Linked DNA regions of Sus scrofa. The protein of the gene in region 2 interacts with the protein of the main gene of each other region in a pairwise test. Links are inferred from orthologs where the notes say so. Each region holds a gene or a part of one and is shown on either strand. Other genes may lie near its edges.

The links.
Region 1: the proteins of VPS52 (region 2) and USP2 interact in binary tests that used the Homo sapiens proteins (3 or more experiments, as listed by UniProt). The two-hybrid records come from large-scale screens. The link is inferred for Sus scrofa from reciprocal best matches to the Homo sapiens genes VPS52 and USP2.

What each region holds. Positions count from the first base shown.
Region 1 is NC_010451.4:46,578,214-46,585,873, forward strand, and holds part of USP2 (ubiquitin carboxyl-terminal hydrolase 2), read right to left. Parts: intron 7,027-7,660; exon of another isoform or gene 6,898-7,026; intron 3,890-6,897; exon of another isoform or gene 3,885-3,889; 5' UTR 3,844-3,884; coding exon 3,067-3,843; intron 1-3,066. UniProt on the Homo sapiens protein: Hydrolase that deubiquitinates polyubiquitinated target proteins such as MDM2, MDM4 and CCND1. Isoform 1 and isoform 4 possess both ubiquitin-specific peptidase and isopeptidase activities.
Region 2 is NC_010449.5:29,622,289-29,629,171, reverse strand, and holds the end of VPS52 (vacuolar protein sorting-associated protein 52 homolog), read left to right. Parts: intron 1-3,213; coding exon 3,214-3,325; intron 3,326-3,812; coding exon 3,813-3,931; intron 3,932-4,240; coding exon 4,241-4,387; 3' UTR 4,388-4,948; downstream 4,949-6,883. UniProt on the Homo sapiens protein: Acts as a component of the GARP complex that is involved in retrograde transport from early and late endosomes to the trans-Golgi network (TGN).

The sequences.
Region 1 (7,660 bases), on a different chromosome or scaffold from region 2:
AGATGAGAGGTGTCCAAGGTTAAAGAGGCAAACTGTTCCTCCAGCGGTCACAGCAGCCCAACCCAGCCTCTGTGACCTCTCCCTTTCCCACCACCTCTGACCTTGAAAAACACCTAGGACTGCCTTCTATTGCAATTATTTTTAGAGCTTATTTCCCCAAGTTCGTTGCAAATGCACCGAGGGCGGGGAATGTGGCTCGCGCCTCTCCTACCTCCCGAAGCTCCTGGGAGGTGGCAGGACTGAGAAGACTGATATTTTTTGAACACTTACTGTGTGTCAGGCCCATTCGCCTGCAGCCTTTGACGCCTCAAAATAATCCATGAAGTGGGAACAATGCGGATCTCACTTTACAGGTTTAGACGGTCAGGAACTTCCCTGAGGTCACGCTGCTAGTAAGCTGAGCACCGTGAAGGAATGAATGAGACAGAAAATCCCCACATGGAGATCGAAAAAGAAACTGGACCTGGTTCTATTTTTTTTTTTTTTGTCTTTTCTAGAGCTGCACCCATGGCATATGGAAGTTCCCAGGCTAGGGGTCCAACTGGAGCTACAGCTGCCAGCCTATGCCACAGCCACAGCCACACCAGATCCGAGCCTCGTCTGTGATCCACACCACAGCTCACGGCAACGCTGGATCCTTAACCCATTGAGCGAGGCCAGGGATGGAACCCACCACCTCATGGTTCCTAGTCAGATTCGTTAACTACTGAGCCATGACAGGAACTCTGAAACTGGACCTGGTTCTAGAAAAAAGTGGTCCAGGCCCCATGAACAGGGTTGTTCTAACCACAGCAAGATGTCAGCTCCAAAAGCAAGGGTAAGGGTGGTGAGGAGAGAGAAGGTGAGGTTAAATCAAGGTCTGAGGTTAAATCAAGAGGGGCCTTTCCCAGTGGATGGTATCTTCCTGAGCGTGAGCTCAGAGTGAAACGCTAGCTTGATTGTAGGGCTGCTGCTACTTAAGTGTGTTGTGAGCTGTTTCTGGGCGGGAAGGAGGGATGTGAGGGTGGCTGAGTTTGCTTGGGTCAATTTGCCACCCCTCTGAGGTCCTCTCTTAAAACTCCCCTCACCCTGGCCCTGGGGGTGGAGGTGGGGCCGGGGGTGTCTGCTTTGGAATGGGTGTCAGGCTCTAACCCACATCTGTCCTTGAGAGCACAGCCCCTCTCTCCCGGGCCGGCTCCATCATCTAGCACGCCTTGTTTACACCAGCCCTCCAGTGTAGCCAGCCTTGCCCTCACAGGGTCTGAATGTTCCGGGAGGCACCAGCTCCGGCATCTCCTGTGACACTTCAGAGATGGCCCAGCAAGGCCAAGACTTTCTAAGTAATGGTATCAAAATTGTCCTCTCTAGGACCTTTTTTCTTTTTTTTTTTAGGGCCACACTCGTGGCATATGGAAGTTCCCAGGCTAGGAATCGAATCGGAGCTGCAGCTGCCGGCCTACACCACAGCCACAGCAATGGGGGATCTGAGCCACATCTGTGACCTACACCACAGCTCAGGGCCAATGCCAGATCCCTAACCCACTGAGCAAGGCCAGGGATTGAACCCACATCCTCATGGATCCTAGTCGGGTTCTTAATCCACTGTGCCACAGTGGGAGCTCCCTCTCAAGACATTTAGTTATGACAAGCTTCAAGGTCAATGACTCAAAGCCCCGCCTCCATCCTGCACCCTTGCTCCATTATTCTGGACAGGGCCCCTAGGCAGCATTTCTTGCTATGGCACAGAAACTGGTCCCCAAAGACACATGTCCTAAAAGTAGGGGAAGGGTCCGTAAAGTAATGAAGGAGACACAATCAACATCCACATGCCTGTGGGTCCTGTCCCTCTATGCACCCACTCATCCCCCCACCCATCCACTCACCCTCCCCCGCCCTCCCAGCTACCCACTCATCCATGGGATCAGCAGTCAGCTGAGGTCTGCACTGAGCGAGGCACATGGGGAGAGGCCTAGAGAGCTGACTTCTCTCTCATCCTCTGACAGCTCACCACCTAATAGGTAAACTAGTTACTACAGCAAAGGCAGAATGTAGAGAGGTGTTCAAGGGTTAGATGGGAGCAGGGCCATGCCTGCCCTTACTTGGTCTCTGGCTGAGCCTCCTCCCTTATTTGAGCTCAGCCAGGATCGGAGTAGAAAGGGACTGGATTGTCTAAAGTCCTCGACAAAACTTCTCTACCACTTTTCTCCAAAGATACATGAGAACCACTCCTGTCTTCACTCCCTGAGCCAGGCAGGGTCCATCTGAGGACAGCCCCTCTTCCTTGATGTCTTTTCCTTTCCTTTTTTCTTTTTTAGGGCCGCACCCTTGGCATAGGGAGGTTCCCAGGCTAGGAGTCTAATCGGAGCTACAGCTGTTGGCCTACACCACAGCCACAGCCATGTGGGATCCGGGCGGCACCTGCGACCTACACCATGGCCCATGGCCAATGCCAAATCCTTAACCCACTGAGCGAGGCCAAAGATTGAACCCACATCTGCATGGATACTACTCAGATTCGTTTCTGCTGTGCCACAATGGGAACTCTCTCCCCTCCCCGGCCCTGATGTCTTATGTCCCAGGGTTAAGCCCATCTCTGGGCTAGAAGGTAATAGTCTGAGCAGGAGGAGAGACGCAGGCAGTCAAGGAAGCCCCTCTTACCACAGGGCCCAGTGGTGGTCTGGGGGTCTCAGCATTCAGTTCAGGACAGGGCAGGGCCTGCAGGGAACCTGGGCATGTTGGGTGGGAAAGTAGAAGACAAGAATCGCAGTATATGTGGGGGTAGCTGAGTATTTCCAAGAGCACTGCTGGGCCACCATCAAGGGCACAGGTGGTGAAGTAGGTTTCCTAGGGAGAACAGGAAGGCCCTTAAGCAAGGAAGGTCCTGAGCCCCGAGGGCACCAGACGTGCTGAGGTGGCTTCCCTGGCTCGTCCCCACTTGGGCTGCAAGAGCAGCCCCTGTGAGGTCCGAGAAGAAAACCTCTGCCTTTGATCATCAGTCAAGTTGGGAGTCCTTGCCTCAGCCTGGCTCTTGTACATCAGTGGCTGCCTTCCCCAGTCCATCACCAGGTCCCCAGGGGGCAAACTCACCATGGTGTCTCGCCCGGGGGAGCTGGAGCGGCTGGATACAGGGGTCTGGCCCTTGCTCTTTTCCCACGGAGTGTAACGGCCACTGGGTCGGTAGGTGGGGCTGAGGACTTCAGGGACTCGTGAGAGAGGGGCCTGGGTGGGCACCTGAGGCGTGCTGCCCTTGCGACCATAGTTCTCCAGGTAGTCGGCCAGGTACTCAGAGCGGCTGGCTGCCTGGTAGAGCCCCTGCAGGGCGCACAGCTCCTTGCGCGTGCGGGCCAGCATGGGGCTGCGGCCCAAGTTCCCCGGGTCTAGCCGGTAGCTATCTGAGGTCCGGAGGCTGGAGAAATCCCGGGCCAGGTCCGATTGACTATTCGACTTCTTCTGGGTCAGGGTTACCCCCTGGTCGCGGGCATTCACGGGCAGGTAGCTGAGGGAGCTGGTGGTCACTCCGTAAGGGAATCCACTGCCCCCGCTGAGTCCACTCCCTGAAGGCCGCTCAGTGCCCCGAGTCTGGCTCTCCGCCCGCTTACCACCTCCGATGATGTCGGGTCTCAGCAAGGGGCGGCCTCGGTCATAGTCCAGGATGGATGGGGGGCCGTAGGTACGGGGACGGGTGAGGAAGCTGGTTGAGGGGCCCGGCTTGAAACCGAGCTTCTCCTTCTCCAGGAAGGAGGCGGCCAGGTTGGCCCCGTAGGAAGAGGGAGTGTAGGTGCCATAGCCTGATTTGGCGTAAGGGGCATCTGTGTAGCGGGCTGATTCTGTGTAGCGCTTCAAGGTGGAGGAGAGCTGGGACATCCTTCAGGGCGGCACTCACTGGGGACTGGGAGCCTCATGGGCTGAAAGACAAGGAAAGTAGTTGTCAGAGGGTCCTGCGGGGGGGTCATATCCCACCGCACCTGCTTTCCATCCCCAGTTGGCCAGACCGAAGATCTCGACCAGGAACCACACAGTCTGCTGCCCACCACTGAGACACACCTCTGCATGTGAGCGCACATGCAGGCACGCAGGTCTCCATGCACCCATGCATTCACACCTTAGAGAGAGCACACGGGGTAAACTGGCTTTTTGTGTTTGTTTTTTTAAGGGCTGCACTCGCAGCACATGGCAATTCCCAGGCTAGAGGTGAAAGCAGGGCCGCAGCTGCCGGCCTATGCCACAGCCACAGTGATGCGAGATCTGAGCCACATCTGTGACCTACACCACAGCTGTCAGCAATGCTGGATCCTTGACCCACTGAGCGAGGCCAGGGATCGAACCTGTATTCTCATGGATACTAGTCAGATTCATTTTCCCCTGAGTTGGCTTTTATAAACCACAGGGGGGCAATCAGTCTCAGCATGTCCTGCCCACTCTGAGTACACTCAGTGTGAGGGCAGGGACTGCCCTACCTCAGCAGCCCCTCAAGCAGCAAGTGCTATTCCAACCCAGATCCCATCTGCTTCCTCTCCTCTGCTTCTGCAGATACTCCTGAGGTGGGGGGTTGCCACCGCCCTCATGCCCTGGATTGAAAACGCTGGACACTCCAAGAGTTAAGACTGCTCCCCTTCTTTCTGACCGGTGGCATGAGTGAGTCCTGGGAATCCTACGCTGTCTGAGCTGGCATGACCCGAGGATCATTTGGCCAGATCCCTGATGAGGAAAGGAAGATCCCTGATGAAGAAAGGAAGAGAGGGGGCTGTGGAGAGGTGGCGGCGAGTGACAGAGAGTGTGCCTGACCTCATTCTTCCCTGGTCACGGTCACCTGCTGCCGTGGGGGATCCTCATGTCGTGGAGTCCACCCTCTTCACTGGTCCAAACCTTTGGTTCTCAGTGGAGTTAGGGCCTGTGGCCTCACAGGGATTCCCATTCCCCTACCAGCACCACCATGGTGATAATGACTTGTGCAAAAGGGGCCCCCTAGAGGCTAAAATCCTGCACTGCAGGCAGCAATCCGGGGCCCCATCCGCAGTCCTTGCAGTGGGGTGGGCCTGCTAAAGGAACACAGAATCTCTGAATCGAGGAGTTTGGAGGGCCCTACAGGGTGGTCCATCTTAAGTCCTCTGTCGTACAATTGGGAGAAGGGCTGCTGACTTGCCCAGGGTCACTCACTAGCAGAGCCGGGATTGGCGTCCATGTCTCTCAGATTTCCAGCCCAGTGCTCTTCCGACTTTACCTCAGTTCACACCCCCATCACATTTAGGCTCATGTGGGGACCCCCAGAGTCCCTCCATCACCCTAAACCTGCAGGCTTCATCTACAATGGAGCTGGAGGGCAAGGTACTTTAAAGGGAGGAGCAAGTGGGATTGGCTCCTTTCCTTGAGGGTCAGCAGTGGCTCTTGGGGGCTCCTGGGGTGGTGGGGGTGCAGGACCCTCAGAGTCGTGTGTGTAAGGGCTGTGCCCTGCGCTGACTAGCTGGGTGGTTTTGCACTAGTCATTGACCCTCTCTGAGCCCCAGCTTCCTCATCTGTGTAATAATCATCATTAGATTCCTACCTCACAGGGTTGTCGCGAGGAATAAATGAGATAATAACACACGAAAGCCCTCAACAAGGACAGTGGTTATTATCTCCTCCCCCAGCCCCTGCCAGGCGGCCCGGCTCCTCCGTTTGTAGGCCTATAATAACGTCAGGGCTGGCTGTCTCCTGGCCTGGCCGGCCTCTGACCGCAGCCCTGGGCGCCAGGCTTCTCCCTGCAGCTCCCAGCGGGATGAGCGGATAAGCGGGCAGTGGGCAGCCCACAGCTTGCCCCAGGCTGGCAGCCCAGCCCATGCGGGCAGAGAGGAGCTGGTGCCAAGCCCCACATGCAGAGGGCTGAGCAGAGAACTCTAGAAACTCAGTCCATATAAGGCGTGGGAGAGGTGCAGGGGTGGCAGAGCGGCAGGTGGCACCTTCCATCTAGGCCCCACAACAGAACTTCCAGGCCCTGCCGAAGCCCTCCAGCCGTTTTCGGCATCAGAGAGGTCTGACCTGTAGTTACCAACCACTTTTTCCCCACCTGGCCAGGGGACCCCCTACCCTTCACTGGACACTCCCTCGCCCACTGTGCTCCTACCTCCAGCACAACTTTCACCTCTATGTAGGAAAAAAATAACTGGAAGAGGACCTCATGCAGGGTTAGGGGGAAACCACAAGCTTCCCTCCTATCTGCTTAGCTTTCTGGGGTCCAGGGAAGGAAGAGAATGAAGGCTGAGGGAGGCCAGGGGGAGAGACAGAAAGAGGTGGGGGTGGGGGTAGGGCCGGGGGGCGGCGGTGGGGGGACCAGTCCTGCTCTATTTCACGTTGGAGAGAGCTCCATCAATAATTCAAAGTCAAAGAGACTCCAGGCCTCAGGAGCTGGGCTCTGGGACACCCGGCAGCCAATCAGACACAACCCCCGCCCCGCCATGGGCCTTTCCCCTCCCCCACACTCAGGTTCCCAGGGAATTGGTATTCAGCAGGCTGTGCCCCAAGCTTGCGACCTCTCCAGCAGATGCCAAAGTGCCAGGTCCAAACAAGGTACGGCAGACAGGGACGACCCTGGGATGGCCCACGAGCAGCCCTGGGAAGGGTTGGGGGCTGGAGGGGAAATCCCACCTTCCAGCCCCCAAGAATCCCAGGAGAGCTCTTAAATCCCACTCTCCTGTTCTTTTCAATCTGGCAGGCTGGTGACAGACCTCCCACTGGCGCAGCAGCCATCACTAACAGCCCCCTGGAAGCTGCCTCTAAGTGCAGGCAGCTGGCTTATAGATCCCCTCTCTGGGGAGAGGCTCCCTATTGGGACTGAGGTCTGGGGCAGGCCCATCCCCTCCCCCAGCCCCCAGTTTTACTCTTAAGTTCAGGGCTAGCACCTCTCAGGTGAGCAGATAGGTGGGTTGGTGCCCCTGGCATTACCTGGCACGGGCTGTCCTGGGAGCCTGCAGAATGCACCTTGGGTGGGAGGGCGGGCCAGGGCCCTGAATCTAGCCTTGCTGCGCAAGACAGGGACAGGACGGGCGCTCACATGGCTGCAAGAGTCTCCCTGTTGCCAAAGGAACGGCCTGAACTGAATGGCCCTTTCATGGGGCAGTGGGAGGCCAGCCCATTGGCTGTGATCCCCCGTCCCCCTCCCTGCCCAGCGTGGGGCCCCTGCTGCCCAACTCCTTTCACTGTTTACCCAGAGCTGGCAAGTACAGGCATGTGATTCCAGGCAGCGCCTCCCCAGGTGCCTGCCACCTCGGACAGCAGGGGCAATCTCCTCGCCAGCCTCCTCCCCGTCCTGCTCTCCCAGAGGGGCCTCCGCTCCTCCCGGCTCTGCCGGACTTCCTCTGGCTGGGCTCAGTCTCCCCTTCTTGGGAGATGTGGTGGCATTCCTCCTCCTGAAAGGATGCGTGAGCCAGCTGGCTGTCGCCCGGCCAGCACGTACTGAACACCTCTGGACCAGGCACCACGCTGAGTGTTTCACATGCAGCTTCTCATTTCTCAGCAGCCTGAGGTCCAATGCTCAGACAGCCCTCCCTGAGCCCCAGGCACGCTTCTAAGTGCACTTTACATGGAGTGTCAGTTCGAAGCTTTACTTTTTTTTTTTTGCCACACCTAAAGCATATAGAAGTCCCTGGGCCAGGGATCGAACCTGCCTCAGCAGCGACCCAAGCTGCTGCAATGACAATGCTGGGGT
Region 2 (6,883 bases):
GAGCTACAGCTGCTGGCCTATGCCACAGCCACAGCAATTCGGGGTCCGAGCTGTCTGTGACCTATGCCACAGCTCACAGCAACACCGGATCCTTAACCCACTGAGCAAGGCCAGGGATCCGAACCCGCAACCTCATGATTCCTAGTTGGAGTTGTTTCTGCTGTGCCACAATGGGAACTCCTGTATGTCTTCTTTGGAGAATTGTCTGTTCAGGTTTTCTGCCCCTTTTTCGATTGTGGATTTTTTTTTTTTTTTTGCTGTTGTATGAGTTGTTTGTATATTTTGGAGATGAAGCCTTTGTCAGTTGCATCGTTTACAACTCTTTTCTCCCGTTCCGTAGGTTGTCTTTTTTTTATGGTTTCCTTTGCTATGTGAAGCTTGTGAGTTTGATTAGGTCCCATTGGCCTATTTTTGTTTTTATTTCTATTGCCTTGGGTGACTGACCTAAGAAGACATGTGTATGGTTGATGTCAGAGAATGTTTTGCCTATGTTCTCTTCTAGGAATTTTATAGTATCTTTATAGTATCTTATGTTTAAGTCTTTAAGTCATTTTGAGTTTATGTTTGTGTATGGTGCGAGGGAGTATTCTAGTTTATTTATTTTCTTACTTTTTTTTTTTTTTTTTTTTTTTTTTTTTGTCTTTTTAGGGCTGCACCTGTGGCATATGGAGGTTCCCAGGCTGGGGACTGAATTTGAGCTGTAGCTGCTGGCCTACACCACAGCCACAGCAATGCAGGATCTGAGCCACACCTGCAAACTACACCATAGCTCATGGCAACACCAGATCCTTAACCCACTCAGCGAGGCCAGGGATTGAACCCATGTCCTCATGGATATTAGTCAGGTTCATTTACCACTGAGCCATGACGGGGAACTCCCTAGTTTCTTATTTATTTTATGCATAATAGTTTGGCTTTCTTAGTCCCTTAACCTTACCCCTCTTTTGCCCCTCCCCCAGAACCAGTATTATTATTTTTTTGTCTTTTTACCATTTCTTGGGCCACTCCCGCGGCATATGGAGGTTCCCAGGCTAGGTATCCAATAGGAGCTGTAGCTGCTGGCCTACGCCAGAGCCCCAGCAACATGGGATCCAAGCCGCCATCTGCAGCCTATACCACAGCTCACGGCAATGCCAGATCCTTAGCCCACGGAGCAAGGCCAGGGATCAAACCCGCAACCTGATGGTTCCTAGTCAGATTCTTTAACCACTGCGCCACAGTCCCGGAACCAGTATTTGTATGTGTGTGTGTCTGATTTTTAGGGCTGCATCTACTGAATATGAGGTTCCCAGGCTAGGGGTTGAATCAGAGCTACAGCTGCCAGCCTATAGAACTAGTATCTTTTTTTTTTTTTTTTTTTTTTTTTTTTGTCTTTTGTCTTTTTAGGGCCGCACCCAGGCATATGGAGGTTCCCAGGCTAGGGGTCGAATCAGAGCTACAGCTGCTGGCCTACACCACAGCCACAGCAACATGTGATCCGAGCCGAGTCTGCAGCCTACACCACAGCTCATGGCAATGCTGGATCCTTAACCCACTGAGCAAGGCCAGGGATCGAACCCGCATCCTCATGGTTACCAGTCGGATTCGTTAACCACTGAGCCACGACGGGAACTCCGAACCAGTATCTTTTTTAACCTTACATTCCTCCAGTCTTTTTTCTGTCCAGGGATCTGGTTAGTTGTAGGTTAAACATTCCCATTCCATTCTCTGTTTAGTAACATAAACATGTATCATGGCTGAGAAAGGAAGCTGTTGTCCTTACCTGCACAGTTAGGGGACAGAGGGAATATCAGTTCTTCCTCAGAAGTGCAGTTCCCTTGCCCTCTGACCCCACAACCAGTGGACCCTGCTGGGAGCAGCTGAGGCACTGAGGCATTTGCTATGGTGGGGAGCCAGCTGTCACCAGCGCTCCCTGGCCTTTTTGGGGGCTGCTGCTCGGTGTCATGGGACAGATTGCTAGCCAAAGCCCAGGGCACCCCTTCCTTCTTTCCATTCCTCTGCTGCCAGAACTTCTCTTTTGCTGGATTGAGAGCTTAAAGTTCATCCAAGTCTAGACTGGTGCTGTCCAATTGAAATATGATGCAGAGTTCCCTGGTGGCACACTGGGTTAAGGACCTGGCATTGTCGTGCTGCAGCTCAGGTTGCTGCTATGGCCCAGGTTCCATTCCTGGCCTGAGAACTTCTACATGCTGCTGGTGTGACCAAAGAAAGTGTTACCTTTTTTTTTTTTTTTTTTTTTGGTCTTTTGCCCTTTCTAGGGCCGCTTCCCAAGGCATATGGAGGTTCCCAGGCTAGGGGTCTAATCGGAGCTATAGCCGCCAGCCTACACCAGAGCCACAGCAATGCAGGATCCAAGCCGCGTCTGCAACCTACACCACAGCTCATGGCAATGCTGGATCCTTAACCCAATGAGCAAGGCCAGGGGTCGAACCTGCAACCTCATGGTTCCTAGCTGGGTTTGTTAACCACTGCGCCATGACAGGGACTCCCAGAAAAAGTGTTACTTTTAAATCATTTCTTTAAAATTCCATTGTTTCAAAGCTGTCCATTCCTAATCTTGTGAATTGATCATGTGTGTGTCTGTATCTTTAATTTCTTTGAACATTTCATACAGAAGGCCCAGCTGCTGTGTATGTGGCAGTGTAACGTTGGCTGTCTTGGGCGCTCTTGGGTGTACTGTCTGTGCTAATTTTCCTGGTAGTCTCTTTCTTACGACTGCTGGTCTTTGACTCCTCTCCTTGACCTTAATCGGGGGAGTCCCAGGGCCCTGCGCTGGGACTGAGGGTTTTTCAGAGAAGGTTGGCATCTCCTTTTACAGTCACTGAAAAATGCCCTCCCCCTGGGTCTACACTGCCACCTGTTAGAGGCTCTCGTGAGAGAGGCAGCTCAGCTTCCCACTCAAGGCTGGCATCCCGCTCAGCTTCTGGGTAGCAGGTGGCCATGGCCACTTACCTCTGGCAGCCCTGCCTCTCCCAGTTGCCCACTTCCCTGGTTCCAGCCCTCTGCTCCCAGCTCCATTTTGTAAACCATTTAATGAATTAATTATTTTGAGGAGGGTAGTCCTTGGAGATTTCCCTTAGCTCTGGGAGACCTTTCTAGAGATGAGCTGTGCTGTTACAGGAGTGTTCTAAGGACCCAGGTGGTCATGACGCCAGACCTGGGAGGACCTGCAGACATCAGGAAACTCGACTGTGTGTGTGTGTGTCTCTACAGGAATTCATCGAAGAGCTGCTATCTCCCCCTTTTGGGGGTCTGGTGGCATTTGTGAAGGAAGCTGAGGCCCTGATTGAGCGTGGGCAAGCCGAACGACTCCGAGGGGAAGAAGGTAAGAAGGGTGGGTGGGGTCAGTGAGAGGTGAACGGGAAAGAAGAAATTTAAATTTTTTTGAATTATTTTATTTGCTTTTTAGGGCCGAACTCTCAGCATATGGAGGTTCCCAGGCTAGGGGTCTAATTGGAGCTACAGCTGCCAACCTACACCACGGCCACAGCAACACCAGATCCGAGCCCCGTCTGTGACCTACACCACAGCTCACGGCAACACCGGATCCTTAACCCACTGAGCGAGGCCAGGGATCAAACCCACAAGCTCATGGTTCCTAGTTGGATTTGTTTCCCCTGTGCCACAAAGGGAACTCCCAGGAAAGAAGAAATTTGAGGATGCAGATCACATTGCGGGGGGTGGGGGGGCAGTGGTAGAGCAGGGAAGGGTGGGTTGGTGAAAAGGGGTTGCATGGTGAGGATGGCGGTGCCTGGTGGAGAGCCTAGAGGGATCAAACATCACATGGCTATTACCTCTCCCCCCACGACCAGCCCGCGTTACTCAGCTGATCCGGGGCTTTGGCAGTTCCTGGAAGTCGTCTGTGGAGTCCCTGAGCCAGGATGTCATGCGGAGCTTCACCAACTTCAGGAATGGAACCAGCATCATCCAGGTGACCTGCAGTCCCCAGTCCCACCCACCCACCACTGATTTCCCCCCGCTTTTCTTTTTTGGCTGCGCCCGTGGCGTGCCAAAGTTCCCAGGCCAGGGATGGAACCTGAGCCATAGCAGTGACAATGCTGGCTCCTTAACCCACTGAGCCACCATGGAACTCCCCCACCCCTTTCTCTGGGCTCAGAATCATACAAGTGACCCTTGATTTTCATTCCATCTGGACCCCAAGTCCTGTGCCCTGACATGATCCTAATCGTCACCCTGGTACCACCCCATACCTCATCCCTTGGTGGTTTTCTCCAAGCAGGGAGCACTAACCCAGCTGATCCAGCTCTACCACCGCTTCCACCGTGTGCTGTCCCAGCCCCAGCTCCGAGCCCTCCCAGCCCGTGCTGAGCTTATCAACATCCACCACCTCATGGTGGAGCTCAAGAAGCACAAGCCCAACTTCTGACACACCAGATGCTGGAGCCACCGGCCCTCCCCATGAACTTCTTCCCTCGGGGTCCCCCTTCCGGTTTGCCCCTGGCCAGAAGAAATTTGAGGATGCAGGCTCTTGACATGCCGCACCCGCCTTCACCCCAGGCACCTGCCTCCTCAGGATAAGCTGGGTCACCGTGGCTTTCTGAACCTCCTGTCCTCAGGTTTCCAGGACCACTCCCCCCTGGGCTTCCAAAATAACCTTGGTTATTTTTCCAATTTTCTCATTCCTCTTCCCCCTACACCGCCCTGCCCTTTTCTTCTGCTGGTGAAACCCTCGCTGCCACATCTTTGGTTCACTCAGCTCTTACCCCCTGGTGTCAGGTGTGAAGCCTCAGCTCTTGGAGTTGGTGTAGCAGGGGAGACTGCCTCATAACAGTTGATTTTTTTTTTCCTACTCAAAGTGATCCTTTTCTGTAGCTTTTTGACCTAAGATCTCAGCAACTTGAACACTAACCAGTCCCCTCCTGGCTTGAGAGTTACTCCATCCAAGGTCAGTCTGCAGAAAACAATAAATGTTTAATATGACATAAAACCCTTCGCCTGTTTCCTTTCTCCTTCCTCCTGGGACTTTCACTTAGCCCCATCTCTGCTCCAGGGTCCCTTTGCTCTCTGACTACCTCCTGGGCCTACATCCCTTCTGGTGGGTGTCTAGAAAGTAGGGGCATAGTAACCTCTGACCTCTAGCTACTGGTTTTAGGGGAGTGGAGGAAGGTGGCCCCTGGTCATAATGGCAGATGCATCAAGGGTTGTGGGCCTCAGGCATTGCATCCAAGGGCTACCTGGCCTCCTGCCTCCTCCAGCTGACCCCTAGGGTTGCCTCCTCTCCTTCACTGTCTGCTTCCTAGCTCTTTGCCGGAGGCTGCAGCACGCAGACTACTGGGGCGGGGCTGGGCCAGGCTTGCACTGTGACAGTCTATCCATTTCTGGGTTGACCTGCGCCTTCTCTAGAGGGAGAGACTTGGAGACTCCTGTGGATCCCCAGGGGGAAGGCCTGGACAGTCAGGAGAAAATGGTAATTTGGGGCCTACTCATTCCCCCCAGCGGGTGGTGAAAGAAAAGTGGCTTCTCGCAGTCTGGGTGCGGTACCAGCCAGCTGCGAAGGCAGCGACTACGCAGCTCCTACACACGCAGGAAAGGGCGCTGCTTGGGGCCCGAACGCCGGGAGGCGGAGCTGGGGTAGTGGCGGGCTCTGTCGATGGGCTCCCGTGCAGAGGGGGTGTGGCGAGGCCGCCTTGTCTCCAAAAACAGCGCGCTGATTGGCTTTGGGAGCCCTATTTCTAAGCTTCAGCTCCGCCTCCCGAGTCAGTAGGGAGGCTGGAGACTCAGAGCGGCTCCTGATTGGCTCAGACACCACAGGGATGGAATCAGGATAGCGCCCTTCCCTGACTTCACCACTTCGCCGCCACTTCCTCTCCTCCCCGCGGGCCTCCTGGCTCACCCGGCATGCCAGAACACCTGACATCCCCAGAGGCCTGCCTGCCCCAGGAGTCTGCTGTCCCATCACCTCTCTTTCCTGTCCCTCGCCCCCACCAGGGGTGCCTCACGTTCTCACATTTGACCTGATCCCTGCGCAGTTCGAGGAGAGCAGGAGGGTTCACGGCTGGGACCTGGGAGACAGAGCGGTTTCCCAGAGAGGGAATCTCTGCGTCTCTGCATATCCCACAAAGGAGATTGCCGAGACAGGCGATTTCATCGAAGTCGACCTCGGTTGGGAGAAGGAATGTGCGTGTAGGCACCTTGGTTTTCCAACTTCTGACCTTCTCTGCCCCTAGCTATCCCCAGCCCCAGTGTTCATGCTCCGACAAGCACAGTCTTTTGCAGGCCTCACTGAGGGTCACTGCTGCAGAGTGAGGAGGCTCCCGTTTTGGAGCCAGGGGGTACTGAGGTCGAACTGCCCGAGAGCGCGCAGGAGCCCTCTGACCAACAGTCTCAGGATGGCACAAAAGGAGACAGGGCAGCGTGAGATACCTCTGCTGGCCTCCAGGGGGCAGCATCTACCAGGGGAAGGGTCTCCATGGCCCAAGCCACTAGCATTTCTGCTGCCTGGTTGGCCCAAGGCAGCGAGACTCCTCCCGCGCCCCCTTCAGGCTAAAGCAACCCGAGAGACTTTCCCTTCAGCCTAGAAACATCCTGTCCCGGGGCTTACATGGGTCCTTGAGACACTGGGCTGAAACTCCCAACTTCTGGCTGATACCACTGCCCTCCAACTTCTCCCTCATTTCTTCCCTTTGCTGATGACACGCTCTGGCCTCACAGAGCAGACGCATCAGGGGGTCACTCCTTGCGGGGGGGTGGTAGGGTGGGGGGAGCTGTCAGTGTCCTCATTTCAGGCTCACATCTGTGCCTGGTACCTGGGTCCCTGTCCTTCCTAGTGTCATACAGGAAGGACTTGGAGGCATCCTTATGGGTAGTGACAGTGCCCGAGGATGCTAAGGGACCTCCGTCCTTGAAGGACACATCACTCCAT